2 linked regions of the Lepisosteus oculatus genome follow. The protein of the gene in region 2 interacts with the protein of the main gene of each other region in a biochemical or structural test. Links are inferred from orthologs where the notes say so. Each region holds a gene or a part of one and is shown on either strand. Other genes may lie near its edges.

What was found.
Region 1: the proteins of ets2 (region 2) and zmynd11 form a complex in vitro, tested with the Homo sapiens proteins (2 studies listed by BioGRID). The link is inferred for Lepisosteus oculatus from reciprocal best matches to the Homo sapiens genes ETS2 and ZMYND11.

The regions. Positions count from the first base shown.
Region 1 is NC_090701.1:13,106,952-13,124,441, reverse strand, and holds the start of zmynd11 (zinc finger MYND domain-containing protein 11), read right to left. Parts: upstream 8,724-17,490; 5' UTR 8,549-8,723; intron 1-8,548. UniProt on the Homo sapiens protein: Chromatin reader that specifically recognizes and binds histone H3.3 trimethylated at 'Lys-36' (H3.3K36me3) and regulates RNA polymerase II elongation. Does not bind other histone H3 subtypes (H3.1 or H3.2).
Region 2 is NC_090700.1:6,569,280-6,586,127, forward strand, and holds the start of ets2 (protein C-ets-2), read right to left. Parts: upstream 7,467-16,848; 5' UTR 7,197-7,466; intron 6,152-7,196; exon of another isoform or gene 6,129-6,151; intron 5,429-6,128; 5' UTR 5,423-5,428; coding exon 5,360-5,422; intron 2,070-5,359; coding exon 1,949-2,069; intron 854-1,948; coding exon 734-853; intron 331-733; coding exon 130-330; intron 1-129. UniProt on the Homo sapiens protein: Transcription factor activating transcription. Binds specifically the DNA GGAA/T core motif (Ets-binding site or EBS) in gene promoters and stimulates transcription.

The sequences.
Region 1 (17,490 bases), on a different chromosome or scaffold from region 2:
ATCTGTATATATATTTTTTTTCTTATAGTGTAGCCAGCACACCTATCTATATAACAAATGGTGTTTCTGTATTTACTACTGTAGCGCCTTTCTTTTTTTTACTTTTGCTACCGTAAGCATCTTTACCATGATTTCACATATAATTTCTAGTTTGCAACTATGAAAGAAAGACTTCATTGAAAACACTTTTAAATATCAAGAGGGTTTAACTAGAACAATTGCTATGCAATACAAGGTGCCTACATCTGTGCGGTACCACAGTAAAGTCATTGAAATTACTAAATGAACAACAGCACAGAACAATTGTCATGTTTCAATCAATAAAGCACAATATTAATATTTTGAAAAGCATTCAGATCCTGCAGACTAGCAGTTTCTCTTTTCTTTTCAAAGTATGCTTTCGATGTGACAGCCTTTAATGCGTGCTTCTAAGTTTTACCAAATGATTTGTTTGGAATTCAATTCTTGTTATTTGAATAGCATTCTATTATTATATATTAAATGACATTCTCTGTCATGAAATTTCCACTGAACACAAGGTATCTAAGGGTTGTAAAGATAAAATATACAGGCAATGCATGCTCTGTCAATTCTAATAAACCAGAACTATTCTCAAGATTTCTACTTTTCTTTTTTCTTAAAAAGGAAAAGCAGAACACTAAATGTAATTGTACAGTCACTGTTACTGCTGTTATTTGGATATTTAAAATGAAAATATGCTATGCATTTAGCAAATGTATATATAGAAATAAAGAATTTCAAACTGATGCTGTAGGGCATTTCCAAAGAAGGAAAATTGTACCACAAATATTGTTTAATAATACCAGATGTGAAATGGAACTAAATGGAAAGTAATTGGCAGAAGATGCATAAAAGAAAGCTCTATGCAACACTGATATTTTCTCATATACAGCCTGAAAACATGTATAAGTATCAGTTAAAAACAAGTCAGCTATATAAAACCTTCAGAACCTTCCACCAGAACACAAAATGTCTTTGAAAAACACATGTATGATAGCCTAATCTAAAAATGTGGGACATATTGTAGCACACAGTGAGTGTAGCACACAAAACATATTTCTCTATAGACTGGAATTTCAAATTCCAGTGTACACTTTGCTAGCAGTGCATTTCCGCCCATTGGAAGAACGACCACAGCATGTACTGTACAGTATCTTGTGAATGGAAGCTGCCATATCTGAAACAAGCAGAATTCAAAGTACAGCAAATTCACAGATCTCCTAACAGCTGTATTTCAAATGCCTTGGGGGATCAGAGCTAAACACAGACTCAATGTGCTGCATGGTCCAGCTCTCCAGCAGAAAACATGTTTATAAAAAGGGGGGTGTGATAAACTGTTGCACAGTGAAGCAGTTAAGATTCTGCACTCTCTTTGCACGAGCATGGTTTTAATAAAGCCACCTGTGACATGTCGCCTGGGTTTTCAGACATCTGCGCGTTTACAGGATGCTGTCCTGATATACAAGAGCTAACAACACATCCTCACATCTAGGGATTGCCTGGAAAGAGCCATTAAACAACTGACAAATTGTGACACAGCATGGGTAAAGGTTACAGAGGGGACGTACCAGAGGGGCTAACCTTGCTCACTGATCTAGCACACAAAGCTGTTTCCTCACAGGTAAAGCAGGAATAAAAGAGCGTATTTCCTAGAGGTCCATGAGAATAGAGGACTGCCAACTGACCTGTGATCCAGAGTTTAATTGGATACATCTGGTTGTCACTGAGAAACTACCTTTGAGTATACAAGTGCATGGCAAACAAAGATCCTGGTCTCTGTTAGAGACCGGTGGTCACCACACTCTAGTGGTTGTTGAAAGAATGCTTTGAAAATGAACATTATGAAAATGTTTAAGTAGTTTAGAAACTTTTGTTTTGTATAGATAAGAAAAGGCAAAGAATATTTAAAGGGAAACTACAAGGTTTTTACTTAATGCTGGTTCTTTGGCTGGCAAGTGACTTATCTACCCAACTCTTCAGATGGGGTTCAGAATTAAAAGTGTAGTCAGGCCTCCAAAAAAGAAACTATTAGGCCTCTATTTTGAGCGTCGTAAGTATTTTCATTTACACTCTGAGCACTTCTTTGAAGTACCACTTCTCTCTAAAATCACCTCTTGTGTCTGCTCCTTTATGTCTTACACTAAAAAGCAAACCCAAATGATTTCAAATTGCTGTTTTTGATAAGTGAAATTGGTAATTTGGCGAGTTAAGGAAGAAAAACCCAAAACCCTACAGTCTTCACGAATCAGAAGTCGACATTCCTTGCTGAACAAAGTACATATTGGATTGCAAAAATATATATATATATTCCATGATATTAAACATGGATAACTATAGGGTGCCTATAAAAAGTGTTGCATAGTTAGATTTAAATTTTCCAGGATTTACAGGGCTTACTCATCCCTGCTCAAGCAGTTACTATGAAAGCACCAATGCCACAATACCCAATTTGTACACCAAAACTTGTAAATTTCACTTATCAGGGTTTATTTTAAAAACTACAACTTTTCTTAAGTTCTTTAATCTGAGCCTGATCATTAAGAAGCCTTCAACACTACAAGAGCAAGTGTGGTAAACTTTAGTTTTGCTACAGATATGTTTGATATGTATCATTCAACCTGAGGAGACAAATGAAAACAGTGCAGGAAGTGGTCTTTCAGGATTCAGTTAAGACCAAAAAGAAGACACCCTAATGTAGTGAATGTAGTGAGAAAAAAGGAAAGATTTCTGCAGCAAATGGGAGTCAAATATTGACCATTTCCAGTGTAGTTTTCTGGTATAATCAGCAGAATTATGGTAATTAACCACCTTTTAATCAAAGACATGACAAGACGGATGTTCCCCTGCAGTACTACAGCTTTGCAAGTATTTGACTATCAACCCATGCAGCATCAGCAGCTAGTTCAAAGTCTTTCAGTCTGCAGTTACACATTACACCACTTTTGATAGCTAAATCTCTAGTCACAGGTTCAGAAACGTCCCAGGTAAGTAAGCTAAATTAGAAACTGATTATGCAGTGGAAGGAATTCCCAGAGTGTCCTTAAAGCCTCCTCCTTGCAACGCTGAACTACAGCACTGTGCACATGTTTAAGACAAATACTCTAAGCTACTGACGTTTTTCTGAAAAAATGGAAACTGCAGTTGATGAAGAACTTTGTTCCCATTGGTAATGCGTTGCCACACAGATCTCCTTTTTTAAGTTGTAAAAATAGCACATTTGTTTAGATCCATAAAAAAGCTGGCTCCCTCTTTGTCTAAATCATATGATTGTCCATAAAACCCTGCTTTTCCCATGCAGTGTGCTCCCATTTCCCACTTCCCCTCTCAGCTCTACTGTTAAATTATAGTAATGTTTGGTAAATACAGCAGGTCTAGAAAAGTGATTCTCAACCCGGAATCTGGAATATAGCAGCGTTTCTATGTTGGTTTCTTTAAATTGTCAACAGATGAATGAATGCTGTGGAAAAGAGCCAAATAGATCCGGTTAAACCTTGACTGTATCAATTTAACACCTCTCCCAGGTACAGAGCTGGCTACACATTAAGCTGACCTAATAAACTGGCTACATTCCAGACCCTGAGGACTGGTGTAAAGATACTCTGGTTTAGAATGTCCTATGGGAAGAAATCAGGAATACAGACTCACTGTAAACATTTGGGGAGGAAAGAAATTGCAAATGATTTCTATTCCTTTCATAAGGGACTTTTAGGATACTTGTCCACACTCCACAGTCTAATATAGAAATTGATCCGTCACTGTTGATTGTCTCCAGTGCAACAGCAACAAGTAAAGTGTTTCCTGCACAAAGATCTGTTGTGTATTTACTGCCCTTTTTTTAGGCCTACTGTCTTGATCATACTGCCCACAATCTAAACTGCAATCTATAAGTGCTGCCATTTTGCAAGAGCATGACAGCAATTGGAGTTCTTTGCTTCACCAATGAGAAAGTTAGATCTTTAAAAATAGATTTTTCCCCCCTCTTTTCCTTCCAGGGTGGTTTAGCAAAATGTTTTCAATGTTTGCACCACAAGCTTACTATGCAAACTTCATTTAAACATTTTAAAGACAGCAGATGCTTTTAAAGAAGACAACCTTACTTTGGAGTGAAGTGAAAATGATAAAACTATGTGGCTGGTTAATCTGATGACACAGTGCAAGCCAGAAACTACATTATAATGTCTTTTTCTGCTTCTAATACCCTGCCAATATTTCTCACCCTCTATCTGACAGCAGCGGTACATTTTGCAAACATTTTAGATTTACTGTCAAAGTGACTATCACAAATTGGAAGCTGTGAGCTTAGCAGAAAAGATCTGTTGAAATTCTGAGCATTTCAGAAAACACATTAAGCACCCTACAGTACTTAAGGAATCATCCTCCATTTGTGTGACAAGCAGCACACAGCTAAAAGCATTGGATTATAGTGCATGAAGTTACTACACTGAACAGTCCAAGAGAAGACAGCTGAATGTTGATGAAATGCGTATTTACAGTATATTATTGAGCAATATAATATTCACATCCAGTCATTTTATACAGTCTTAATTCCTTATATTTCAGTGTAGATATAAATGATAATGTTCTGCCATTAGCTTGGAAGAAAATAATCATGCCATTTTGATCTATTCCAAGTTTTAAAAGTTGTTTTACCTTTATTTGTACCTGTACAAATATTTAAAAAAATACAGGGAAGTTTGTGAGAAATGAATACTATAAATGTATTCAATACCATCCCACAACACTAATCTTCATGGAACTGTACAGTTCATTGCTTGAGGATCTAGAAATTAATTTGTGAAACAAGATCCTGGACATGAAAAACAATTCTGTGTGTCAAAATTTACTTTTCAACCAACTGAAAAAACAAAAACATTCTGAAGAAAAGCAAGTTAGTTCAGCAGCCTACAATGCAATTAAAATTTAACATGAGGACATAGAAATGATTTGATAAGGTTTTCACACAGAAACCCACAACTGTGTGCATAATCTACAGCAATCATTATTGGCCAAAGTTCACAACCTTCTTGTGAAAAACACAAACAAGTAAAAAAATACACTTCCTGGGGATGACCAATCTCTAAAAACTTTTGTGGCTATGAAAACTGTTTTTTTCTAATTTAAGGCTATGAAAAGCATTTTTTTTCAACAAGTAAAAATAATATGCCATACAAGAACCCTTGACTTCTCACTGCATCTACAGGGGTATGACAGGCTACCTTTATTAGTGTGGGGAATATCTGAAGGAATCTATACATTATGGGATAATTTACCACAAAAACTACAAACTAGGTACATAAACATCTTAGCTTTACTATTAACTTAATCTAGAGTTAAAATGTTCACAGTGTACATGAGTACCATTTATAGTGTACACATGAGTGTTCATGAGTACCATTTATACTCTCCAATAGTACTATATCATTTTAAGCATTTTTTGCACAATTCACTGCTACTAAAATCCGCATGTGTGTTCTACAAATTGCCTTGTTCAAGCATGCCATCTCTTACCCATGTAATATTCACCGTCTTTACTCCAAAAGGGTTAAACATTTGAAACAGACAATATACACTCATTCCTTATACAAATGAGACTTTGCACACAGTATCCATGAAATCTGTATCTAAATGAAGGGACTTACTGGCTCCAACGAAATTGTATGAGTGATTTTAATATTCTAATCACGTCAAGAGTATTATAAAAGGAAAATGATTATACTGCTATTTGCCAGTTGATCCATTTTAGATTTTAACAGTGATAAGCACTTTCAGATACTACAGATGAAGAAGAAAAGTACTTCTGCTGTGCATAATTTTTAACTTCACTCTTTACTCCATGTATAATGAAATTAAGTTCACAAGCCTCAAATGTACAGGACCTACTGTATACTTCTTTGAAAGCCTCTTACTTGTTTCCCTAAATAGGCTGAAAATAATGAACTTCTTACACTGCAACTGCCTAGGTGCTTCTAACAATCCAGTATGAACCCTGCAACCTAAGACTTGTTAGCTGTGAATGGGCAAGTGGGATCAGGTTGATGAAGTACATTCATCTCCCTGTGGAGGGAAAACAGATAGGCCTAAGTTTCCCACTGTTCAGGAGTCTGACCCACTTCAGGTTTCATGACACTCTCATAAAAGGCTATCCCAGAGATTTCATGCGTAATACTTTTTAACTGGTAGAGGAAAAGTGTAAGAGACGGATTTTAATAAATATTAAAATCTATTACTTTTTTGCCTCTTCAGTTCAGTTCTAGTAAGAGCTTTTAGATAAGGATTTGCAAAAGGTGAAACGAGTATAACTACAACATGACAGGAGTGTTACTTGTTTCCTTGAGAGGCTGGGAATCTGGACACAGAGCAGTGGATAGCAGAAAATGTGACTTTCCTTCAGCGGATCTCTGTGCTTTTGCTATAGACCAGATCCTTCAGTAAAGAGTGTGACAGCATGACTCGTTTTGTCCCTGCTATCCTAAGTCTGTGATACTGAATAGACCCTCTCAACCACCACTATATTCCTCCAACTTACATTCTTCCTTGGAATTGGGTGATTTAATACGCAGTGAATAATAAAGTTTCCAATAAAACAATCCAATAAATCAAACTATCAAACATAAAATCTTCAAAAATGTTAGTTATGAGCTGCAAATTGACCAGGTAAGTCTTTTAACATGGCAGCAATGTTTTTTTAAGTGCTAATTTAACCACATCAGGGTATTTGCAGTGCTATGGTTATTCCAGAATTAGACCTATGGTTGTGATGACTGTACTGCTGTACTGCTTACCTCTTGAGAGAAAATTCTACAAATGGTTGGAAATGATTGCTAGTAACATCTGTTATTAGACTACATAACTGTCACAGTTTCTCTCCAATTCACACATGACAATTTACAGCTGGTGATATTATTAGGAGTTTCAAAGAAATGCAACATGTTTTAAATTCGAATAACAGGTAATTTGAAGATTTCTGCACCTGAGTTTTTTGTGATTCAAATAATAAAATACCGTTACACATTACACTGGTTATCACCTTTCTCTGGCTCTTGGCAATATTGACAATATTGCTTGGGATCCTATAAACCAGGTCGCAACCAATAAGCAAAATGTTACTTGAGAATCAATGCCTACAATTTACAAATATAATTCCAAATTTAATATAGTTCTTTCAATATAAAGAACATAAGGTAGCTCTACACTGTAAATAACCTTACTTTAATTTATAACTGCATTTGCAATTAACCATATTCTTACTGTAACCCCGTTGAGCTGCTCTGAATAAACGAAGCCACTTAATAAAAAAATTATTATTGTTCCGTCATCGCTCATATCTTCCAAAGGAAAAAAATATTCTAACATGTAAATTTGAATAGTGAATATTTTTAGCTGGAATCCACATTCATCAAATACTTTCAGACGAATTTCCATATATTCGGAGCAAATCAAACCATGGATCACAAACGTCCAAGGAGGCTTCAAAAATACTTATTTTCTATAAAAATAAGTGCAGAATTCGAACATCTTTTAGAAACCTATTACAACCATCCCCCAGTAACAAAAATATCAATCGTCTAGCTCGCGTGATATGGCAGTAAACGTGGATATCCCAGTTACAACTTCTGGTTTCACCTTTCGGCAAAAATAAATTAATTAAATAACCGCCATATTCCTCAGTATTTTAAACCAATGGTCTTTCATTTAAATATCCTAATGGGGAGAAAAGTAACTGCCCATTTGTTACTGCAGCACCTTTCGGCACAGGGAGTGTTACAAATTGTCGCATGTATAATACAAAACAGAGGAGATAACATTAAATCAATGAATTACTAGACTTCTTCGGCTTTTATGCTACCATGCCATTAAAGCGGGTAATTCATCGCAGACGCCTAGCCCTTTGTGATTCTATGATATGTAAAGAATAATGTCCATTTGCAGCAGTAACCATCTGATTGATTTCCATCGCTCTTAATTATATTATTTTCTAAGACATGATGGTCGTCCAGTTAACAACGCCAGGGGCTGTGCTGCCCTTCTACTTGAGAGCTCATCTGATTCCCGGATTAAGTGTTTAGGAATGTCCGTGGATTTTACTCTACACCCAGGCCACTTCACCATTTGTTGCAATACCACAATTTCGACTACCCTCCATTAGAAATGCTTAAAGACGCACGAACTGCGCTCTTAAATCAAAGATTGCAGTCTATGCACAAACGCAAAACTACAACAATAACGACTGGGTGGGTTAAGTTAAGGAGTTCTGTTCTAACTAATAATAACAAAATCTTCAATTAATATAAAACCCTGCACAACGCAAATAGGCGCTTAATATTATTTTATGCGATTCCGGTGAGTTGCACATTTTGCAATTAACCATCTAGCATGGGTAGTTTGTTTTTTAAAAAGCCTCATTCGTAGATATTTTCAACACTAGTTCAGAGGCGCCATGTTAATAATCCTCCATCACATAAAAAGAAACATCTCCTAATGTTTTATTTTTCAACTCGTAAATTTTAAAGCATTAAATTAAACCTACCTTCTTTAGGATGTTCTTAAAAATAATGCGCGCCTCTGTAGAAACCCGTGCAGGATGCGATAGGAATGTTACATTTGTATTTCCGGAATAGTTTTCTTATGTCTGAATTTATGTTTTATGTCTATCCACAGTTCAGGCTTCGGAGAGGTAAACACATAAACGCAAGCAGGGCTGATTTAAGAGTAGGAGAACTCTAGTGGCTGAATAAAGAATTGCGGCTTTAGTTGTCTGTTGTATTTTTTTTTTCAGGAACATGAACTGTTACTTTTATTACAAATTGCATCTGTAATAAATTACTTTTTTAAGGACACTGAGACAAAAATCTCTACAGCAGTTTATGCGTTTAAATGTTTCGCAAACACAATAATTATATCTGGGTTCAATCCACAATGTAACGTTGAAAATGTCACCATATTGTTACTACTTTATAACCACTAGAACTACTCTCTAACACTCTACCGACCTGACTGATGACCAAGGGAATTTTGCATGAGAAAGTACCTAATTTTATCAGTTACTGTAACAATAACCATATCTTTACTGTATAAACAGTTCTAGTAATTCTGGTGTCTTGAAGCCTGATCTTGTCATATCTAGTAATATATAAAAGCAAGACTGGGCCTGTTTAGCATATGGATGGATATACAGTACGTGTAATGAAAATGAAAATTGCTACTAAAGTGATCTTGGTGGACCAGCACTCTTCCATTCATCCATTTTCTAATCGCTTTATCCAATACAGTTATGGGGGAGCTGGAATCTGTTTCAGCAAGCAAAGGGCATGAGGCAGGGCACAACATGGATGGCACTCCAGTCAATTGCAGGGCAGACACAGACACAAGCCTGCACACACTCACCCCAGGCCCCGTTTTCTCAAGACTCAATTAACCGCCCAGCTTGTCTGCAGACTGTGGGAAGAGATCGGAGCATCTGGAGGAAACCCATGTGAACGCAGGGAGAACATACAAACTCCATACAGATAGCACCCCACTTCTAGAATTGAACCCAGGGCCCCAGCGCTGAAAGATGACTAACTGTGCCTTTCCCTGGAAAGGAAATTCTGAAAGTTAGTAGAAGCAGGTCTTTGACTGTTGATAGCGGCCATCTTATTCCATGAAGCAATTAACATTGGTCTATGTTAAGAGTGGGTGAGTTGTCGAGAGAAGACTCTGTAGTTTGATTGTAAAATCTGTGAATAAAGCTTTTTGTGCATGTTAAAGTCAGCAAAAAATATTTCAAATAACAAGTACAATAAACAGTACTATACTATAAATAATTGCATAAATTATGTAATTAAAGGTAATTTTAAAAATGGATATTAAAACTATTCATTTATGTTATGTGGCAATCTTGGGTTTTTAAATTCCTCATTTTTTTAAACTCCTATCTCAGGATATATTACAAGATTTGCATCTCATAACAATGCTCAACTAGCAGACACAAGATAAAAATGTCCTTACAGCTCCATGTCCTTTACTGTGCCCGATACTTATAAAGGACACATCTTGCACAAGAGGAAAAAGGTCTTTTGATTTACTGTGTGTGTCTGCACAGATAATCTGATTTCACTAGGGTAAGAAATGAATTGAATGCAGGAGCTTGTCCAGAATTTATTTGAGCTCACCCATCTATAACCAGATTGAATCACTGTTAGGTTTAATATTTAGAGGTGCCAGCTGAGTTTTAAAAGTCATGGAATCATACATCCAACATCCTTATACAGTGTGAGAGCTATGGGTTTTTGTCCAGGGTTTGAGCCTGTGTTATTTGACAAAGTCAAGATCAGTGTGTTGTGTTCACTAAATACCTGAACAGCTAAGTGTATAATGATTTTATTGTATTTTTATTCTGACATGTTCTTTTTATGTATTGTAAACAATTATGATTTGCTTTCAAACAAACTACACTATATAAAATAATTTTCATTAAATTAAATTAAATTCCCTCACACACGCACAAAACAAACAGATCCAAGGAAATCTGTGATATATACTGTATGCAGCCTACAGTGTAATATATATATTATTCTTCAGAATAATAATGGGTAACATAGATCTGATCATATTTAAAAGAAGTGTTGGTCACAGCTCTATCAGATATGTTGTATGGTACTGATTTGCCACAAGTATTGCAATTAACAAATGTTCTGTTTTGTGATGATGTCATGAAAACTCAGATTTTACAAGAGGTGAAGTATTGAGCAGTATTTTTTGACTCATTTACAAATGTAGTACGCAGGCTTTGAATAGTCTGAGCCATATACTCTAGGTTGACTAGCAAACATGTAACCATTCAAAGATTAATTTTAAAATCTCCATTATGAACATTTGACTGTGTTCTGCATTATTTCTGAGTGATTTTAATCAAGCGTCATTGCTTTTATCACTATAAATTACTCTAAATGAGCACCATTCATTGGAAAGCCTAAATCCTTGAGTTTTTAAAACCGATAGTTCCTTCACATATAGTACTAGCAGATTTTGCACTCAAATCTCCTACCTTTATAATCCAAACAATTGAACAATCAAGTCACCTTGATGTCATACCAACTGACGACCAAGCAACAATGTCTTACCATTATTTGCCTAAAAAAAACTATCCAGGAAATGATATCGCTACACTCAGATGCAGCAATTGCTAACCCAAATGCTGACATTTCAGCATTTGTAAACAGCTCTGTTCTCTGTGCTATATATATAAAAAAATAATTCCAAAAAAATAAACCCAGTTTTCCCTTTCAATTGTTTCTTGAGAGAAGTCTGGAAACTGACTTCAACAGCATTGCTTGGTAGCTTGTTTTGTACTCACACAACACTTGAAGTGCCTCTTGTTCTCAGTTCTCAATGCAATTCCACATAGTTTCCATTTGTGCACTGTGGTTCATGTTTAACTGTTCATTCTAACCTTGTGACTGATTTTGACAATTTTGAATACCTGTGTCAGGTCCCCTCATAACCTTTGCAGGTATGGGTGAGGCTTTCCTAAACAGTATACTAATAAATCTCCCCTTTTCCAAATCTTGTGCTAAGAAAAGACATTTGAATCTGTTAATGTATCAAAAGGTATTGGAGAAAAAGTTTCTTTAAGTGGCAAGAGCCTCTGATCTTATGAATAACAAATTCAAAAATAAAATTGACCTAACTAACTGTATGGAAGGAAATCTTTTTTTTTTTAATTTTACAATCTTGAGGGCCAATCTAATCACCTGATTAAAACATCCCATTAGCACATGTGGTAGGGAATGAAGAAAAACGTAACCAAATCAATTTACTAAGAATGGAAGAGTAGAATACAGTAGGTTTGTGGTAGTTGCAGTTGAACAATGGAGATTCAGAAATACTGTTCATACTTAGATATTATGAAATGAAAACATTATTTTTTTCTCACATTTCTTCTTCACAGATTCATATTAAAATTCAACAATTACCACAGCAATACTTTGAATTGCCCTATTTGTGAAGGTATCATTCACTATTGGCTGATTAAGAAGAGTCCTTTTTTATGTGTTTTTTGAAATGGTCAACTGAAATGGTAGCTATTTATACCAGCACATGGATGTAGACTGAAGCTGATATTGACTTTTTCTTATTGAGTAAGATAGACTGAATGGCCTTTTTACATCTGTGGTCTTTGTCATGCTCTTTCTTAATCAGGTAATTAGATGTGTTACGACCCCAAGTGTCTAGGGGAAAAGGGGTGTGACATTTAGGATAATTCTTTTGGAAGCAGGTGGGTTTTGGTGAGGGACTAGGAAGCGTGATAAGGGTAAGGAACTAGAGTGGTGCCAAAGGAAAGAAAATAAACAAAAATGGAGCTGGCTAGGACAGTGAGGGAAAGCTAATCTGACTACAAAAGAAAACCCGAAACACACGGTCTTCGGCGTCTTCAACACCCTAGCTAACCTGCACTGACTACCCAAAACCATACAAGACAAACGGCACTCACCCGTACTAAACTAGTGTACTAATACAAAATCAACTAAGTGTGTAAGTGTACCCAACAACCTAAACTAACCTTATATACAGAAGTTCACAGAAAAACACAAGTGAACCAGGAAGACAAATAAGGGAAAACAAGAGTAATAAATAGGAGCAGGGTACAAAAAGAACACAAAAGTTGAACATGTAACACTGGGGCAAGGTAATGACAAAACAAGGATGAACACACAAACAAACAAAAGTACAAAGAAACTAACGTAAATCCAACAAAACAACAAAGCCGAAGCTATACAGAAATACACAAACACAAAGCAAAACAAACCAACAAACGAAGCCGAAGCAATAACCAGGAGCGAAGCAAAGCAATAACCAAAACCAAACAGGACCAAAGTCAAACAAAAGGCCTCTCCTTACTGAAAACCTCCAGGTTATATACTGAATAAGATGTGTTCTGATTGGCTGAGAGTTAATTGATGATGATGTCATACTGAAAGTGTGGTGTAATGGTGGGCCAATGGGGAAGGGAGAACAATCAAGGGTCAGCAGTGTGGAACATAGAAAAAAACACACACAGAACACACACTGGGACATAACAAGATGCATCAAGAAATCAGTGTGCAGTTTGAATCATTTTAAAAAAAGAATCTGATTCTCAGAAACTACAGTATATTTTTTGCAGTCTGTTTAGACTTGAGTTGACCTACCATTTGCATATACAACTTCCATTTGCAGATGAACAACCTGTAAAAATTGTGGCAGATCAAGCAATATAAGCTTTCCAGCAAAAGAAATCACCTGACAGAAATCCTTGACACTGTACCGTTGTTGTTTCTCAACTGTATATGAGCACTTTAATTCACATTTCATTTAAAAATTAAATGTCACTGATGTTCTCTGAGAACATCATGGCTATACAAGGATAAAAGTTCATACATTCATTATTAGGAATGTCACATTGCCCTGATGCCTCATGCCTGATGCCTAGATGTCCAATGGGATTCACTTCTGGATTTCATTAAAGAATGGTGCCTTGGAACAGATCACAGTGCATGAGTTGGAATAATAACTGAGCGCAAAAATACTAGCGCATAAAAGCAGACTCCAATTATGCTTTTTAACAAGCACTCAGTGTAAAAAGGAACAAGTAAAGGTTTATTCCACGCTGAAAAGAAAAGAAACACAACATTTCATCTGTGGAGCCTTCTTCAGGTGTGTCCACATGTTCTTCAAAAGGCTCCACAGCCGGAACGTGTTTCTTTTCTTCTTTTTTCACTATGGTACAGTATAAACCTTTACTTGTTCCTTTGCAGCCTACGCATGCTGACGCAGCCACAATATCTACAGTACTTGAACTCAGTGTAAGAATACAATATTCAGAGTTACCCATAACAAGGCATGTACAAACACACACAGAAGGCATGCATAGAGAGCAGATAATAAAGCCAGGCTGGCAAACAGCTATAGCTGTGTTGCATAAATGTACAGTCAGTTGTTGTGCCATAGTCAGCCTTCCCATAATCCCTCAGTCACAGCTCCAGTGTGCTTAGCAACTGGACAGTCTCTATCTTCTGGTTCACGGGAGTCGACAGATGTCTCTACAATATGTGTACCAGTATATAGCAGGAAACTAAGATATCAATGATCTTAGCATCATCAATAAAAATTGTAATAACACCCCAAAAATGTCAGAATGATTTACATGTAATAAGGGACCCACTTTAACCACCAGCTTCCATTCTGAGCCAGTAGCTCCCTATCAGATCAGGTGACAAGTTTCGGCACTTTGCCAGTAAATTAAAGCTGAAATTTAGGGAATTTAGGTTGAGTTAAGTCAAAGTGGAATTTAGCTAGGCCACTGAAATTTGTGTTTACAATTTCATCCCTTTATTGTGTATGTAAAATTACTGTACCATGCCTGGCAAAGCTATTCAGACCCTTCCTTTGGTGTTCCATTTTGTGAAACTTTATTCACATTTTATTGAACTTCATTTTATTCAAAACCTGAATGCATAAACTGAAGAGTCACTAAAGATAAGATAAGTTACAATAAACATAAGTATTCAGACCCTTGAGCTCAACATTTGTTATTCCTTGTTATAGACAGCTATTACTGGCAAGTCTTTTTGGATAAATTACTAACAACTTTACACACTAACCTGATGCAATTTTCAATTTTTCTTTGCAGATTTGCTCAAGCTCTCTCACGTTGCCAATTGCTTGTTGACAGTAGTTTTCAAGTCTTCCCTGGGCTTTGACTAGGCCACTCGAGGACTTTCAATTTCTTACTCTTATGCCACTCCAGTGTTGGTTTGGCCTTATGCTTTGGATCATTGTCCAGCTGAAAGCTGAACTTTTGCCCAGTTTAAAGTCTGGTGCAAGCTGTCTTCTATGATTTGCCAGTACTTTGTCTCTGCTGATGTGTAGCAGAACTATAACATAAGGCCGCCACCACCATGTTCGACAGCAGGGATGGAGTTGACTGAGTGAAGCACTATGATGGGTCTGCATTAGATATAACACTTAGACCAAAATGTTGCATTTAGACCAATTTTGTCTTTTGCCACAGTTTTCCAATATCACTATCAATAGTATGTGCTTTGTTGCTAACCCCATTCTGGATTTGAAATGTCGTTTTTTTCCATTCCATACAAGTCCCTTTTTTGGACGACTGTTGAACATTTTGTCTCAACCACTGATTTGACCCTTAAGTCTAAATCTAAACCAGTTTCCTCCTTGCCTGGCTGCTTGGCAGTTTGGAATGACAGCCTAAATGAGGCAGTTTCTGAGTACCTGCCACTTCAAAGATTGACTTCACTACACTCAGAGTTGTTCTTGGAAATGTTTTCATGCCCTTCTAATGATCTGTGCCTTTTGGTCTTAATAGTTGAATGTTTGCTTGAAATGTACTGATTGAGGGACCTTACAGAGACAAGTGTGTTTATGATGAAATCAAGTGAACCACTGTTATTCCACACATTTTTTTCTGTTCTTGCTAAACTATTTCCTTCACTTTTTGTGTTTCACTTTAAATGTGTGGAGTAACTTGTGTATATACCTTTAACAGATATTACATTTAAGCTTCAAAGCAAGAAATCGCCAAAACTATTCAAGGGCTGAATACTTTTGCAAGGCACGGTATATGATAAAGAATAATTATTTGTGCCTATAAATCAATTGTACAACAAATTCACTTCAAATCTATAAAAAATAAAATGTAGTTTAAAATAGTGTAACAATGCAAATTAAGCTTAAAAAAACATACAGTGTACATAAACATCAATTACAAATAATAACCTACTTTTATAAGAATTATAATAGACTGGAATAAAACAATTGAACAATAGTGACAGTACAAAGTCACAAATATAGTTTAATAAGAAATACAGTAGGAGCTAACTAGAAACTATCTAATTTCATATTAGGTTGCTAAAACTAAAGAAAAGAGAAATTATTCTTATTAACTCTTCAAGCAATAAAATATAGTATAAAAATGGCTTCCCAATAATTCAATGCACTGACCTGTGGTCACAAATGAAAAGTTAAATGAACTGGAGACTAAAAAGAACTTTTTTACTCAAAGAGTCAGGGGTATTGGCAACAGAATCCTTTGCCCAAACTCTGGGCACCTTCAAGAAACGACTGAACAAAATGTTCGTTTCACTCAACTACTAAACTACTAAAAGGTGGTCTGCCCAGCTCCCTCTTGTTTGCAGCCTTTTTTATGTTTTTATTGACTAAGCATGACTGGAACACCCTGAAGCACTATAAAGAAAGTGGAGCAACAATGATATAAAATTTGAAGACAGTAAAACCAATTCTTCAGACCACTGCCTGACAGTCATTGTACATGGACATTAGAAGGAAAATTAAACAGGGCTGATTGCAGCATCCACGTACTGTACAGTACCTGTTCAATGTAGACTGAAAGTAACAAATCTACATGGTCAAGCTGCTGCAGAAACAATGTACCTGTCAGAGACCTTCAGGTAAGCATTTGAAGTGTGACATACCCTTTCAAGCAACTTACAACTGGCAACCCACTGAAGCTCAGCAGGTGTGAGCCTGGCCACAACCTGGATGGGAGACCTCCCAGGAAGCTAACGTTGCTCAGAGGTGTTAGTGGGATCAGTAGGAGGTGCTCATCCTTTGTGTATATAACATATACAAAAGTAATGTCATGGCACAGGAGGGACCTATTGAAGTGCAGTTTGATTGCCTGCTGACTGTATTGATTTATTAGAAAATGCATCGTTTTAATGTTTTTTTATTCTACACGAGTCTGCAAAATCCTCAGAGGCTCGTCTTATACAGTATCTTTTATCAACAGCTATATCATCAACTCGAAGGTGCAAACCTTCAGATGAGATGTACAAAGGATGTCCTGACATTAAAAACACCAGGGAATTTCTCGAAAAGAGTACGGGTATTTCCCCCTGGCCTTTACCAAACATGGCCTACTAATAATCCCCATTTACAGTATGAATTGGCTTCATTGCTCTATACTCCTCCCCACTGATAGCTGATGTGTGGTGAGTGTACTGGCGCACTATGGCTGCCATCACATCATGCAGACGTGTGCTGCAAATTGACGATGGTGGAGGTAAGTTCTCATTACCTCTAAAGCACTTTGAGCGGAGTGTCCAGAAAAGCACAGTATAAATGTAAGAATATATATAAAACAAAGCAGACAGAGATGAAGTCTAAATCTGTGATTTTCAGCATTAGCGAATACTGATGCATCTGCCATAGAAAAGAAGGTTTCACATTTTTCCTGTGGAAGAGAAACAATGGTTTTGGTCTATACATGTTTAAGGTTTGCATAACAATTATTGGAAAATTTTTAAAAAAGCTTAAGGGAAAATAAATTAAATAAATAAAGGTTGAAGTAAATTCACAAACAGCATGCTGAACCATCTGGACAGGGATTAGTATACTGAGGCTTCAACATGGCATCAACCTAAAGCATGCTGCCTTATTATTAAAGAATTTCTTAGCCAAAAAGAA
Region 2 (16,848 bases):
GAGATTCCTGCATTCCAAAAGGAGGAAGCCCACCTCTAGGGCTTTAAGGTGAACCTCCACTGTTCTCTTAGTGATAGTATTGAATACAGTATTTGCAGCAAATGCATGGAAACCTAATTCCCCCTTTACCTTTCATCATCTGCTCCAGGTGCTCCCAGAGGATGTCCCCAACAAAGTCGGGAGCTAGCTCCAAGAAACGCTCCTTGCCCAGATCACAGAGCTCCTGCCCGGTCATGTTGAAGCTGGAGAAATTGACGCCGGCCAGACTGAACTCGCTCGCTGACCATCGAAGCCACTGAATAACTTGCTTCTTGCTCCACACACGTGGGTCTGCCATGGAGAGAGACTAATCAGCACCCCGCCACAGCCCGATTACTCCTCAGATAGCTGTGCCAAACACCTGCCTTCCAGTAGGTCCATAAAAGGCTCAGTGTTGATTTGAATGTCTTCAGGGATCTTGTGACACAGTTACTTTATATACTGCACAGTACAATAGCCTAATAAACCAATAAATAGCCTCAGAAAACACTTAATGCTGACAAACAACCTAATATTCCCTATGCACCTTTAGCAAGGCAATAATAAGGACTGAGGCTACAGGAGTAAGGGGCAATCTTTCTGAACGACAGCCATGAAGGGCAATGGCAGAGGGCAGTTTTATATACGATTCAAAGCCAAGGCTTTGGGGGTGTCCGCTGTGAGAAGATGAGAAGACATCTTGATGGAGACTCACCGTTGGGGATACCACAGCGCAGCTGCTCCTTGGCAAACCCACTGAAACTGGCCTTCAAAGCCTGGCTCATGACCGCTTTGCTGCAGGGCGTCAGCAGAGGGACAGTGCACGAGCCCAGATCTAGGAGACGCAAAAGAAACAGGCATATTGATTACTGAAGGCCAGTGAAAAGGGCTTCCTGGTGTTTACTTTCTTCAGTGCAGGAGAAGATGGATCTTGCCGGCCACATGGGCCTTTCACTATGCTAGTTAATGACAGACTGACGTGTAGCACAGATTTATCTCTGCACAACTGGCTTGGCTTATGAGTTTAATTACTAGCATAGAATCTCTGATGTTTTAGGGATCCTTTTCGTCTCTGAACATGTTCTCTGCGTGAGGAATATAACAAAACCAAGTTCCAGATTCCAGTGGGGAAGCTGCTGAGAGTACTGCACTCAAAGAGATCCGAGCTGTGCACTTCTGACCAGATGTTTAGAGGGCAAGAGAAGCAGCTGGATGCTGATGGCTTGAAAGAATGGAAAAGCCACAGTTGCACAGGGAGATTCCTGTGGGCCAGTTCTGGCTTTGATCTTCGCTGCACAGTTGCTGAGGTTGTCAAACCGTGGTGATGGTGTGCGTGTGATTGTTAACAACTATCCCTGACGACTCTTTCAAAAAACTTCCCCTTTTTATTAAGTAACATCATTTACATCATTCTGGTCTCTGATGTTGTAACTATGTTTCATAATTCTCATTGAACACTAAGACGCTAATACTGACACATACTGTACATTACACTGGAGTTTAATGACAACATTTGCCTACAAGGGGCCTTTGTGCTAAATGAGGCTAACACATTAGACTTTTGCAATTTCAGACTGGTTCCACCTTGCTTGGGAACAACGTTTTGAAAAAACAATTTTTAACTTGGTCATCAACAAAACAGTGCAAGTGATCCTTGTTTTCTGAATATCCAAGGTCTTGGTTTATTTTTTTTCTCCATCAGCTCAACCTCTCTCAATCTAGATCCAAAAGTAACTTCCGAGAAGGACATTCATTCACCTTTTTTGCATTAACTCCTAAATTTACTCTATAACTATCCCAAGAAGTGAAGATTTATGCACAATTTCCTCTTGAATTTTCAGTTTTTCATTGCTGAGGTCAGGCCAAAAGTATCATTCTATTATCTTGGAGGACAGGATCAAGTCTTCCGGAGGTCTGTGATGTATCTTACCAAGTGAAATGGAGTCAAGGCCTGAAGGCACCTCCTGGACTGACTGTTCATCATCTGAAGCAAGATAGCATCCCGCAAATAAGGACATGGGGTCTTCTAGGACATCAAATGCAGTCTGACGCTGAGGAAAAATAGGAGATAAAAAGAGCTCTTAAATGACAACCTCTGCATTGTTGTTTTTAGCTAAAAGGTGCTAATAACTGTTCCTTGCCTGCTCTAAAATTAGTTTTGGTTGCTTTCATTTAAAAATTAAAACAAAAAAACAGGTTCTATCTATAGAGTAGGTTTATTTTTATAGTCTTATGGTCAATTATCTGGTACATTGAAAGTCAATGAAAGGATATCGGTAAGAAGACATTTAAAATGTGGCTCACCATACTCATCCAGCTGCCAGAGCAAATAACTCTGTACTGGCACAAAAAGTGTTTATATCTCAAAACACGAAACTGAATGGTCAGAAATCAGAGAGTCTACAACTTTTACAATCGCGAGTTTGAAATTCCACTAAGCAAGCTATGAAGAGAAACAAACTGATATTTTCAAGAGTGGAATTGAAACCCATTCAACGGGGCAGTGCAGCTGAAGGACAGTCAATAGGCCTTAGCAGACAGCACTGTACAGAGTCCACACCTTTTCTCTACCTTGTCCTCTGCCACTGAAAACATTCCACTCTCTGAGATGAACTGCAGCCTGAAGGGGGGGGGGGGGGGCCTTAACTTTATTATCTGAGAGAGGTGATAATTCATCTTGTGGCTGCCGGCTGCAGATCCTAACTGTATATGATTTGCTGCGTGGGAGTGCGCTGTTTCAACCCAAAACTGCAACCAATTCCTGCCTCCCCTTAGATCATGGTGGGTAGATTGCTGCCTTATCTAGACATATAAAAGCAGGTCATGCCCTGACTTAAGACAAATCTGAAGTGCCTCTTTTCTTTTTTGTTAAACCAGTCATAAAGTTTACAACAGAGGTTGACTGATTTTATCATCTTTTATCCTTCCCAGCTTACTTTCTCTCTGACAGCCTTCTGTCAGCAAACACCGATTGGCCCAACCTGCTGTCTGCTGCCAAGAACAGTACTTGGGCAAAATCTCACCTCTAACACCTGCTTTCACCCCCAGTTTCTTAATGAGAGTGCTTAGCCACATTAGCCATCATTAATACTCCCACACCTTACTGATAAACACACAAAAGCTTGGCTTGCTGGGCCAATACTGACCTTTTCAGTTCAAACACAGGCCTGCCACTGACGTCTTTGGATATTTCACTGTTTTGTTTCTGATAACAAGTAATACAACCAGAAGCCTCAAGCTTTAAACTAGGAGTTAACTGTATTTCCACACATGCGCGTAATACTCTGTGAAGACAGCTTGTGCGCACCATCTGCGACATTAAATCATTAAAGGCAATCGCTTGAGGGTGATATCTTTGTATTTTTTATATATTTTACTGGAAAAAAAAAATTTGTGTGTGTGTGGTATCGTTCCAAACACACAAATAAATATCAATGTGAAAAACGCCCTCACTTTGATCTTGTTTGCCGAATTTTAGCCACGCGAGTGACAGAAAAATATAGTTCAATAAAACGAATGTGCCGTGATCAGACACCTTGCTGTCTCCGTTCCTCGTGTTTACTCCAGCTTCTGCATTTAATGGGCAATTTAGGCTTCTGGAAACAGCGCATCTCAGAAACAATTTAAGAAAATAAATGTGCTCAGCCTGACCTTTACCGGAGTATAACAGCCCATGCTATGGCTAATCTAGAAGGTGTTCAGATGAGAATTTTAGTGTCCTTATGCAGCTAATCTTTACAGCACATGGCTGAAACATTAAAATTCCACAGCAGCTGCAGTGGAACCTGGTGTATCCCTTAGGAACCCTTAATACACCCACTGTAGATTACTGTAGATTAAAATTGCATTGTAAATATTAATATCAATAGGATGACAAATGTTTAGGACTTACTGTACTGAAAAAAAGCTTCTTGGCACACACCAGTTAGCAATACCTGGTCTGTGTTATTTCTGGCCTCGCTCAGAGTGAAGACAATGTTCTTTAATTTGTTTTGGTTTTTCATTTTGTCAACAAACTGATAAAAAGGCCAGCAGGCCTGTATTTGCATTAGAGCATACTACAGAGTTTCGACAGTCTCTCTTTGGGCTGACAGCTCCTGGGCTGGGCTGGAGTCTGGGTACGAGGAGTATGGTGTGAGATTACTCATAGGGTCTAGTCACACTCTGATTGTGTCTGTTTTCACATCTTCTTCCAATCTAGCACTTGGGTCACATCACTAGTGCACAAGCAGTGCATTGTTATAAAAAAAGAGTAAATAAAGAGAAAGCTAGTGAATGATTTATTCAAATAAAACAGTTACGAGTTCAAGGTGGAATTAACTTGAATACAAGACAGTAGCACAACAGAACCTGAAGTGTTTACCAGTGTCTTAGACTGGGGTCTAACCCTGCTTCTGGAGAGAGACTCTTACAGGTCATCCTAATCCACTCAATTTTATAGCTCACCATGAATCAATTATGCAAGTAATCTACACATTTAAAGAAACTTTGATCTCAAGGGCCTAAAGGTTTTGTTCCAAAATGAACTGCGAATTACATTAGTTAACAAATCACCTGTAATTGATACACCCTCAAGTATACCCTATAAACTCGCTTGTACACATCAGACCCAATTTTGTAGAGTATACAAAGATGTAGGAAGATATTCTTTGAACATGACCGGCACTTTCTAGAAATAATTCTGATGTTTAAAACCAATTTTCCGGTTGAAAGACTTTGGGTGTTTGCACTGAACCATTTCATCACCCCGACTTGAAAGGAGTTCAGACCAGCACAGCCTCCCTTTACTGGCAAGTGAAAGGTTTTTCTGAACAACAAACACTTCAAGGTCTCTGGATTTGTGTGTCTCTTTGTTGTCTGAGGACTAACTGAGGTTTTCAGAAGAGCTTCGGAGTTGTATACATTAGATACCTTAAATACAAAAACTCCTCTACAGATTACCCCGTTTATTACTACAGTACATAGTTGGACGCAGCATTTTTCAGTGGAAGTAATGGATTTTATAACCGCCTCTTTTCTCTTTCCTCCACGCAGTGCACCTTTTGTAACACAAAACCGTTTTCAAAGCGGTTCAGGTACTGTATTTCTAAACTCACACAACTGCTACTGAAGGTAACAATTTCAGTTCACAAGTCAAAGGCGATACTCATACGTTTGACACAAAAAGACATGAAAAGCAACCATCATTTACGAGATCAAAGCAATTAATGTCATTGTGCAGTGGCATTTAAATAAACCTTGATATATTGAAAGTGGAGTAATCATGAAGTATTGATTCTCAAATTGTGATGAGTGAAGAACACACTTATGAAAGAGTGAATTATTCTCTCCGTCTTCCTACCTTAAGAATGCCGCGGTAGCCGCAAGACAAAGGAGCCACCTGATCCATACCGACCTCACACATCGCGATCTAAAGCAAGAGAAAACGCGTTAGACTTGTGCAGCGCTTTATTATAAATTATTCATTCATAAGTGAAACACCAGGATGAGCAACAAACCTTCCCAAATAGCAATAAGTGAAGGTTTGTTTAAAGACGTTACAGTGACACAGTGACAGAGACAAAAAACAAATAGGATAGTGTTCAGCGACCAAGCAATTACAAAACAGGACCCCTTCATCACCGTGCAGTCATTGCATTTGACTCCTAGACGGTCTATGTATTTTGAAGTACCGGGCACTTCAAGAACCGCCATATATTCGACAAGAGCAATGATAATAATAATAATAATAATAATAATAATAATAATAATAATAATAATAATAATAATAATAATAAACTAATTTTACATATTAAACAATTATCCCGGGGCGCTAAGCGAATAAGACAGGGATACACGACCTTGCAGATAATATTTAAGATGTACTGTATTTAACATTTAAGCTCATCCAGAGAGCATACAACTTAAACAGACGAGTAATGATAAAGTTTATTTCAACAAGTAGACAAAGATATGAGGCGCTATATAACACTTTATTTCAACCAATGCTTTATTAATGTCTACACTTTAATAAGAATGGTATAGTTTGCTCTTTTTTTTACGAGAAACGGTTGAGTCACGTTACTTTCTTTTTTCACGCTTTCAAATTCCGCTTTGCATGTGACACCGACCAAACAAACTGATTCAGTTCCCACATCAAAGCCACGAGTGGAGCTGCAGAGGAAATCTGGGAGTCCTGTCTGTGGTTCTTGTGTTTAGAAACAATGCAATTAAGGAAAGATAATTTAAACCAGAATTAAGAGCAAAGAACCCAGACAGCAGTTCTCGGACGATTACTCATGTATGTTTTACTTCACAGTAGGAATCTTTAATGATGTTTCCCATATATATAATGTGGCGTTTCTGTTATTACCTAATCTATACAATTCTTACACAGAAAAGCGCATGATTTCCTCATTGGTCACAAGTTTAACAGATACCAGAAATGACTCACGCTCGCTCGTCACAGAGTAGGTGGCACCCTGGGTACAACTGAACAGCGAGCCTAACGTGTATTACTGACAATTACCTCGTTCATTTATTAAATCCAATTCAGTGTTGCACCGCAAGTTTGATCCATTAGAAAATCGTTCAAACGCACAACAGGAAACGCACGTAAGATGGAAATGATAAAAACGTAACATTTTTTGTTAGTGACTTAAACCTCGATCACCGAAATGTACAGGCAGGAGAGCATCGTATTTGATTTAACTGATATCGGAAAAAATAAGCCGGACGTACACTACTGCATTGTCGAAATAATTCAAGCACAAGTGATTTTTTTTTTGCGGCAAGTCAAAAAGTTTACGTGATAATGCAACAAAAAAAAAACCGAAGATCCAACCTAAAACGCCGGTGGCTTTTAATCGGTTAAGGAAAATTGTGTTGTTCAAATAACAAATGAAAAATCACAGAACGACTTTCAGAAATTCTCATTCTTACAACAATACAGGTTAATAACTAATATAATATAATACCGCACCCAAATGTAAATAACTATGTTAGATTGCTTCAAGAGAAAGACAAAAAAATAATCTGTAATTGTTCACAAGCTTCAAATATCTCTTTCCTTGTATAACGCGTATCGTATTCGATAATTACGTGTCAATTTAAATTCGATCATTAAATTCACCTTTACTCAGGTGATTTTCTTAGCCCAAATTAGGAGCTATGCACAAGCAACACCGCACACTGCTTACCTGTTGAAGACGTTCTACAGTGAGAGAGAGATAATAATAAATCTATTCTTCTGAAAAGCTGGAAATATGTATATCCACAATAGGTCGATCGTATTCCAGCGACGTCCTGGTGGACTAAATTCCTCAAAACAGACAACCGATTGACGTTGATCTTCGATCTGTAGTAGATGCTTGAAAAGGCGGCTGCAGTTTTAACCTGCTGTCTTCGGTGGATGTGAATGATCCGGCTCCGTGCGGCTCTAATTAATGAGGAAGTGCAGATCACTTTGCTCCTTTCATAGACTGGAGACCAGTCGCTCCGGGGAGGAGCAAACAGTAAACACTGATCTGCCATTCACTCAGAGTAGGTGTTTCATCTACCCAGACTAGTACAGTACTAGTACTACAGCTGTGCCGCCGAGAATTGTAACACACCAGGCATGAAATAGCTTATGATTATACTACAACCGTAGCTGGAAGCGATATTTGGTACTGAAACTCCGCACGTTTTCTTTAGTGTGGCTTCTTCCTGTACGTACTGTATACGTAGAGGTTAATTCCACGCTGAAAAGTAAAAAGAAATAAAGAGAAAAAAAATACAACGTTTCCACAAACGCGTGAAAAGGACTCCACAGCCTACACGTGCTTTTCCATCTTTTTACTTTGCAATATGGACTCAAACCTCTGCCGTACTTTGTAACACTCGCACCGAGGCAAATGCCTGCTCTAGTTTCTTAATGCACCGCACATGTTACAGCTGCGAATGAGCGCCATGTCTGTAAATATATGATAGAAAGTGCGCAGGCACTGCTGACGATATACGTTATGTATGGTACAAACACATACAGTACACGTCTATGTTAGAATTCAAAGGAACACGTAAAAGTTTATTCCCTGCTGAAAAGAGAAGGAAAGAAACACCACGTTTCGGCTGTGGAGCCTTCTTCGGGTGTGTTTGAGTTCTATGTCGCAAGTGGGGAGGGCACATTGCTTGTGTTATTGCATACATAAAATGTCCCTGAATGCACGGGGCAGCTTGTTCGTTTCAAAAGCCTGTTCATTATATTCTAGAAGAGATCAATTGGAAATGTATCAGTAACCTTCAAAACCCTGTTCCCGATGGATTCGCTAAAAAGTTGCTTGAAATCAATTTGTTTGCCCTTGAATTTCATAAATTGTGCACTGTGTGCACAACATGATCACTTGTGTTCGGTTTGCAAGCCTTGGTATGAGATAAGACCACGAGCATTAAAATATCTGATAGAATGTGAATCATTTTTATTGACAAGGTGTACTAACGGGATTCTGATTGTGAAAAATAGCAAAATGGGAATGCCACATCTGAGATTTTACAAGCCTTTCCAGTCAGTGCTAAACTGTAATTATATATGTAATTATAGACAATTTAAGTTGTTCTTGAAAGAAATTGCAGTCTGATTTTGGCACACCACTGAAGGTGGTAATTGCATTTATCCTAGACACTTCATTTGCTGGGGATTTTGTATCACAAGTCTTGGTCAAAGAAAACACCGTAAAACCCTTCCTAGCCATGAAGTAACTCTGTACCGATGGAAGCTGTACAGTATAAAACCTGATACAAAAGATTTCATCTCTGCTACATAAAACGCAGCAATTGCTATAGTACTGCACATGCCAAGAATATACTTTTCAAAACACATCACCCATTCTTAGGCTTGTCTCACAGAGAAGCACATCATGACCAGTCAGTCAACAGTTCTTGCGCATCAATAAGTGCTGCGGTACAACACGGCATTCTTGTCAGAAGGCTTAATGACATTGATAACATCTAAACGGGAATTACTGTGAAAATCACAGCAGGGCTGTGGGAGTGTGGCACAAGGTGCCCACCCGTGTTGCTGAAGCCTGCTCTTACAGATTGTGCTGCTTCATTGACTAACGGCATGCTGGCACATTAGAGCTACAGTATCTCCCACTGTAACAGAGCTCATTACTAAAGTAAAACAATGGAAATAACAAAAGAATCTAAATAGTTTTATTGATTGATTTTGAGCTGTTTCAGCTTTTTCCACACAGGCTGACCTCTGTTTAACTCATCGCTTTTAAAAAAAACGTAATTTAGTCCAGGCTGACATCCAGTGGTCTTGAGAAACTATTATTTTAGTGTGACTAGATGATTGTTGTGGTAAGAGTGGGGGAAATCAATGGGGGAAATCTACACTCTTTTTCTTCTCCTAACCAGCCCATTCACACAAGTGCAAGATGTCCATTCATGCACGTGATCTATAGGTTTTAAGCTCGGCAGTGCCTGTCATTAGAGTTCCCGTTCAAACTGGTGACAGTATGACATTAGGGCACAACTTACTCCAGCATGACCTTTTATTGCACTTGTTTCTGGGTTTGATTCTGTCTCCTCCATTAGCAACGTAATGGAGCCAGTTAAGTGGATAATAAGTACAATCAGTGTTTTCCAGGTGCTGATTGAAGAATGCCCCTAAAACCTACAGGATCTCAGCATTCAAGTACCAGCGTTGCTTATCCTGCTTTGTTGCTTCAGCCTTTTAGAATCAATTGGTTTTCTAGTACAAAAAGGTTACCCATATTGGTGAGGTGTGCACTGGTTTTCATCATACAGCAGTGAGGTGCACAGCATCAACACCCATTTCTTTTCAGTTAAAGAGCTGTTCTTCAGTATAAGTTTTTGGTACTTCCTATTGAGCAAAATCTTAATTGCAAATGTGTCAAATGCTCTCATTAAACATTAAAGTAAAAATGTATTTTTTTATTATTTGTTTTCCCGTGTTAATTTCAGCTGTGCTTTGACTTGCTGAAGACTCAAAGTTATCCAGTGAAAAAATGTTAATATTGGTTTATTGATCACTATTTGAATATTTCATTAACATTTTTTTGGTCATTCTTTCAATTCAATTCAATTCAAGTAATCCAGCCTATAACTGAATAGCTCCTTTCATATTCAGGTTCCCTTGGGATCCAACCACTGTCATAACCATAAAAATAATGATTTTATAAGTGTATTACCAGGATGTTTATTAAAATGGTAGTAACAGCTGCCAAAAAGGCATTTCACTCTTATAAAACCTAATGCCATGAACCACAGTTTTCTGCGCTCTGGATTAATAATTCAAGAATAACTGATCATCTGATGTAGTCACATCCATAGCTACTACAAACTGTGTGACAAATAAATGTGCCTAAGATTCCCGGCTTTAGTCCTGGTGAACGCAAGGAAAGCTGTGTGAACCTGCAGATGGATTTTGTTTACCACTAAATAAGCCATCGCCTAGCAACCCCTACATCTGGCTTTCCCTGTGCCTTTGTTGTGAGGCCTTGGTGTACAGGATCATGCAGTCAGGGGCTTCAGATGAATACATCAATCAGTACAATGTCTTTAGCTGCTGTGTCTCTGTTAGCTAGACGGTGACAAGACAGTGCAATAGTTTCAGAAGGACAATACAGTAAATAATACATGAAAGCAGCTGGAGTGTTAAAAATAGACACCTCGGAGCACACAATCACAGCAATATTCTGAACATGCTTTGGCCAGTCCGTGACTATTTCTGTTTCTTTCACATTTCATAATCTGCATGACCCACTGTGAATGAAACATATTGAACTAGTACTTTTTCAGCACTTGCTCTTTGAAGGGTGTGTACAAGATTTCAGATCTCAGTTTTTGATTGCCCTTCGTATAGATAACAGGATTTTAGGTGGAGTTGTCCACACTTTCACACTACTATAGAATACAACCTATTCCAGTGGGCTCTTCACTGCAGATTTAGTAACTGAATTACCAAGACAGATTTAATGGCCTAATTGAAAAAAAACAACCTTTAAGCATTACATTAAGTATCCAGATCTGACTGGACTAGTAGTACAGTCTCTAATCTGATACCAAAAAACTAACTACACTCTGCATATTAGCTTTGCAAAAAACTAAACCATTTGACAACAGCATCAGTAACGCTCCTCAGAAGTAGTCAGCACATTATTTGTGAAACAGCACTTGAAAAATCTGTATTTAAAGATAAAAGCATGTCAATTCAACATCCACACTGATCTGAGTGCTATGAAGGCCTTTATAAACAGCTTAGCGCCAAGGATTTTTAATTGCAATGCATGAATTATGTTGGGAAAATATCAAGTCTTTGTATTCTCTATATCCTCAAATGAATCACAGATAATTGTGTTCTTTAGTTTAAATTCTAAATAAAGCAAATGGAGCATTTCTTAAAAAGATGGCACTGTGCACATAGAAATGATCCGCTGTAAATTAGAAAACAACAGAGTGAACAATTCATACCTTTTTTCAGTAAAGGACAGTAAAACTACACCTCTTTGAAACCTTTCATGCTGGTGCAAAACTTTCTTCTTTAAAAGCAGATATCAATAAATTACCCAGACTATAATCGAGCCATAACATGACATCAGTGTTGTGTTGTACAGGGTTCAACTACAGTACCATGCCAGAGCACTCTAAAACAAAAAAACTTTAGAAAATCTGATTGATGTCTGTAAACTGTAAGTGCCACTTTGCACATTACCACTTGCATTTACCTGGGTGATATTTTAAACAGATAAATACCAGCTGCAAAAAATAGAGTGGGTTAGCATACTTTAAGTTCCCCTGTGTTTTGACTGCATGATTGCTTTTCCATATAAGCCAGCAGATGGTTCAGAGGCACTATAAAACAACACTAACCTAAGAATTAAAAACACAAATGATTGGTAAATCTCAGATTTGCTGGTTATGATAATGTTGTTGATAATGATTGGTAAATTTCATTTGTTTCCTTGTCTGATCTGTACAAAACTCAAAAAGCCATCATGCTTTAATATGACTTTTAACATTAGTATGTACAGTACACCATCTTGACACTATATATACACATCATTATATACTTTCTTCTATGAAATGTTTGTTTCAAAACAAGTACATTTCTTTAGCACTATGAAAGATGTTATATTGAAAACCTTGAGGTTTCTACCAAAAATGATTGATAAACCCAGAGTTAAATCAATAAACGAATCAGATAGCTGAAAGACAAATTAACATTCACAAATCACTTTCATCTTGCTATGTTTTAGGCTGATCTCACAAACCAAGAATGGCTGGGCCTGGTCAGTCCTTGGCTTAGAGACCTCCAAGGAAATCCAGGTTGAATGGATTAAGACAGGATACATGGATAAACCTGGGCTTTAACTGAATGGGGAACACCAAGTGATGTCTGACCATACCAATGTGTATATAACATTGAAGAAATATTGTTATGTGCATGTAAAAGAGGGTATCTATAACATCAGGCAATGCTTTTTTAAAAACACCTTTTTTTTAAAAAAGAGAAGGTTTGGAATAGGTAATAAGGCTTTAGCGGAAGAAGACTTTTGAAGAAAGTGGAGCATAACACTTCACGGCATTTCTATATAAATTAGACATCGTCTGGTAAGGTTCACTGTAGCATGCTGACTCCAGTTTGGCCATCACTCAAAATCAGGACATTAAACTCCCTAGGAATGATTTTTACGATAACACATAAACAACATTGCTTACTTAGGAGAACCAGAGGCTGTGTGAAAGTCCTTGACCGCCTTCATTTCTAAATGCAGGTGAAATGAAATGTTTTGTTTTTCTTCAGCGCAGCCCATGAAATTCATGTCGACAGAGAGATGCTTTATGAAAACACTGGTTGAGACGCCGAAAACAGAACTGGCAGGGAAAATGCACTTCAAGCAATTTGTTATGCTTGTGTTGTGAAATCTACACTCACCTCTTCCACAAAAAGGCAGAAAAAAAGTTGTCCCAAGAGAATGTTGGGAAAACCAAAAAGATTAAGTTTACTGGAAGTGGGGGGAAAAAGCCGACCGACTAATGAAAAACATTAATAGTCTTTGTGATTTTTAAGTGTTGAAATATTCAGGATGGTGATTCAGGGTTTCAAATTATGGATACTGTATACTCAGACAGCTTTTTGGCAAATTCATCTTTTCACTTAAAGGCTATAAACCTTCACTTAAGCAGACAAATTAATGAACAACAACTTAACTCTAAACTAGTAACTATCAAACTGAAAAAAGCGACTTATTGCTTTCAAGGTTTAATTGGCATTGCAATCTCGTCAGAAAATGCAAAATTTGTCACAGAATGGCAAAAAATGGGTTTGGGTCAACGGGTGTCAGGGTCTATGATGACTCATAGGTTTGTAATGAATGGCCGGTGTCATTTTGTCTTTGTCTTTCCTTGTGAGCTTCCCGTTGATCAAAAGTGGTCCTTGTGCAGACACCCATTAATTATCACACCATTCAGAGTGGAGGGATTGGAGTCTAAAGTCTAACTGGACCTCAGACTGAGTGGGGGATCTCTAAAACAGGGTGTGGATACACAATGGCCATCTCCACACAGCCCACTGTTAGCTCGACACAGACTCAAGACAAAAACCCCAGTCATGAGAACTCAGGAGCAAACAGAGGTAATGAAACTGGAGGAAACAGTTTGGACCAGAGCACCTAGGAGAGGGCTTGGACATCAGGGACTCCACAGACAGCATCCCTGCTACCTGAAGCTGGACTGTGTGTTATGATGAGACCTGAATCTAAGGCTACTCATGCCACTCACACCTGACAGCGCACTGAAGCTCAGCAGGCGTGACCCTGGCCAGTACCTGGATAGGACACCTTCGAAGGTTGCTGCTGGAAGAGGTGTTAGTGGGACCAGTAAGAAGCTCTCACCTTGCAGTCTGTGTGGGTCCTACAGGCCCCAGTAGAGTGATGGGAACACAGTACTGGAAAAAAGACGCAGTCTTTCGGATCGGACATAAACCCAAGGTTCTGACTCTCTGTGGTAATTAAAAATCACAGCGAGTTTCTTGAAAAAAAATAAGGGTGCTACCCCGGTGTCCTGACCAAATTACCCTCTGGCCTTTACCAATCATGGCCTCCTAATAATCTATGAACTGGTTGAGTTTATTGGCGCACTTTGCTGCACATTAGTGGTTGTAGTGGGATTCCCCATTACCAGTAAAGCAGTTTGAGTGCAGTGTCCAGAAAGGCTTTATATAAAAACATTATTATTACTACTACTAGTACTTAGTAATTAGTCATTAAAATTGACACTCTGGGCACAATCTGACGGCCTCAGATTGCCCCTTGCTTCAGATTTGTCACTTCTCATCCCGAATAGATATATGTTTTGTGCCGTTAGGCTGCTTGAGGATATTGGCTGACGCATGGCACCCGTTCTTCACTGATGGAGTCGGTCATGCAAAGCGCTCCTCAAAAACGCTTTATAAATACAATGGATTATTTAAGTATAAAGCTGGATTTGTACACGCTCTAGGTGGGCATTCGGTGTCTCGTTACTAATTAAAACCAGTGTTATAAATTCTGCGCCTTGCTGTCACACACAAAAAAAGTTGCCTGTTCTTCTGCGGTCGTTGCTAACGACTGCTGATTTTGATAGCTCGGCCTGTCACGAAACCGCGAGAAACGTTTCCCCTTGTTTTTAAATCGCGTGGCTTTAGGTCCCTCTGCTGGTGAAGTATGCGGTGTGCGTTTCAGTAAGTTTACGTAAAGCAATTGTATCAAAACAATACAAAGGGGGTACAGAGTATAGATTAATAAAGTATATGCATATGAAATGCGGCACTATTTTAAAACAAATGTTGAACTTTTATTTTAAAGGATTTTTCTTATGTTTACGCTTCAGAACAGTGCAGTAGGTAGTCTGTTCTAGACAAGACAGAGAGCTAAGCCAAAACAAACTAGTGTGTGTGGGTGGTTGTGCCTAACTGCGTTAATAAACACGTCTAAAACATATTAAACTCTGAAACGCTGTGGTTAGAACACAGAATGAGAAGAAATACAATTGGAGTCTGTGTGTTTGTGTTTCAAATACAACTGAGTTTATCAACCCAGACTGCCATAAAAATGACATTTAATTGAGTGCAGTCCAATTTTGAAAATGAAAATGCCGGTAATAACGGCATAACCGCTGTGACACACCTTTCAAATATTGTTGATTTCCAAAGTGCCAATTTTCATAGCAAAAAGTCCCATGACACACAACTCTTTTCTTTTTATCTTTGCTTCAGACTTTCCTTTTTCGGTTAGAAAAAGCTTAAAAAGATTATTAACGGAGTTAAAACATTTTAACAACATCTGAGCGTTTTGAGCACAGATGGTGATGTAAACAAATTGCCGTAAATTGGATACAATATCTCCTGTTGCTCTTAAAAATATTTTTGTCCAAGAAGCACTGCTTTTAACATAAACTATGATTTATAATAATCTGCTTGGGTTTAAATACGAGTATTATAAATATGAGTATTATTGTAAATAATGGCAGGAGGCCATAGCATTTAGCATTTTTTTAAAAATCAACAGGAAGAGAACTGTTAGGTACTCAAAAATTGTGTTCTGTGTACAACACTTACTTAAGTAAGCCAGCCGCCCCCACCTCAGAGTTTTACTGCAGAAAAAAAGTGAAAAATGATGTGACCATTTTTCATGTGTAATTAGTCAATGAAATGTGATCCTTCACTGCAGTTAGGCAGGCCATGTGCTCCAGCTTGGAGTGAATGGCTTCCAGATTTGAATCCAATCTCTTCTGTCTAGACTCTACGTTGCTTTTTTTCCCTTCGTAGCTGAAAACAGACTCTTTACACAAAACGCCAACAGCTCAGAGGTTTTTGTACCTCTTTCTCATAAAGATGAGGGACAGGCCTTTTCTGCAAGCCAGACCGAAGACCAGCCTCACTCAAGACTTTTTTTTACAGAACACGTGTCGTCTGGGACAGACAGACAACTTCAGGCTCTGCAGCAGGTCATGCAAAGAACCCTTCTCCAAGAAAATCTGGTTCTGATTACTTTGCTTGAATAAACAAATGCACTATGGACTATTTTAATAATGCATGCATGCTTGATACTTGATGTGAACTTTTCAATATCAGCTGAATCTTTTCATCATGCTCCAAGGGCCTGCATTGAATTCAAATTGAAATTTCTACAGAATATACCTCTGTTTTTATTTATGTATGTAGCCGCTGTCAACATTCATTTTTGTGTATTTAACTATACTTAATCTATCATAGGTTATTGAACAGCAATCCATTCTATCAGGAACATTTAAGGATTGCAGATGAATTAACTAATTTCAGAAAAGGAGATGGCGGTTCTTTACCATCCAACTATGCAATATGTCAGTTGTGAAGAGTTAAACATCACTCTTCTTATCAACATCTTTGAGACTAATGAATCCCACTCCTCTTCAAATAAAATTCAGTTTTAACCTTGGGGCAAAGGGAACTTGATGTGAAGCAGAACAAATACGACTATGATGGAAGACACGTTAACGCTGATTGTTAGGAATTCCTAGCTCGTGAGGGCTCAGCCTAAATTAACTGTGTCCAGTTTCTCAGAAGGGATATGAGCTTTACCTGCTAGCCGGAGCCCAAGCCTGCCCTAGACAGACAAGTAACTGGTTTGCAGTTTTCCCAGGCTTACTTGTCAGACTGATTGGTCAACATTAGTATAGTACATTTCTTTGCACAGACAGTCACCCAATCAGCTACTTGGGCAGGGACCTCCAATTATATAAATAACCCCAGTAGCATGATTTCAGCTTGGATTCTGCTGGAGCTAAACTGGTGAGATCCCATGTGACTCACTGTTGTCATTTGTT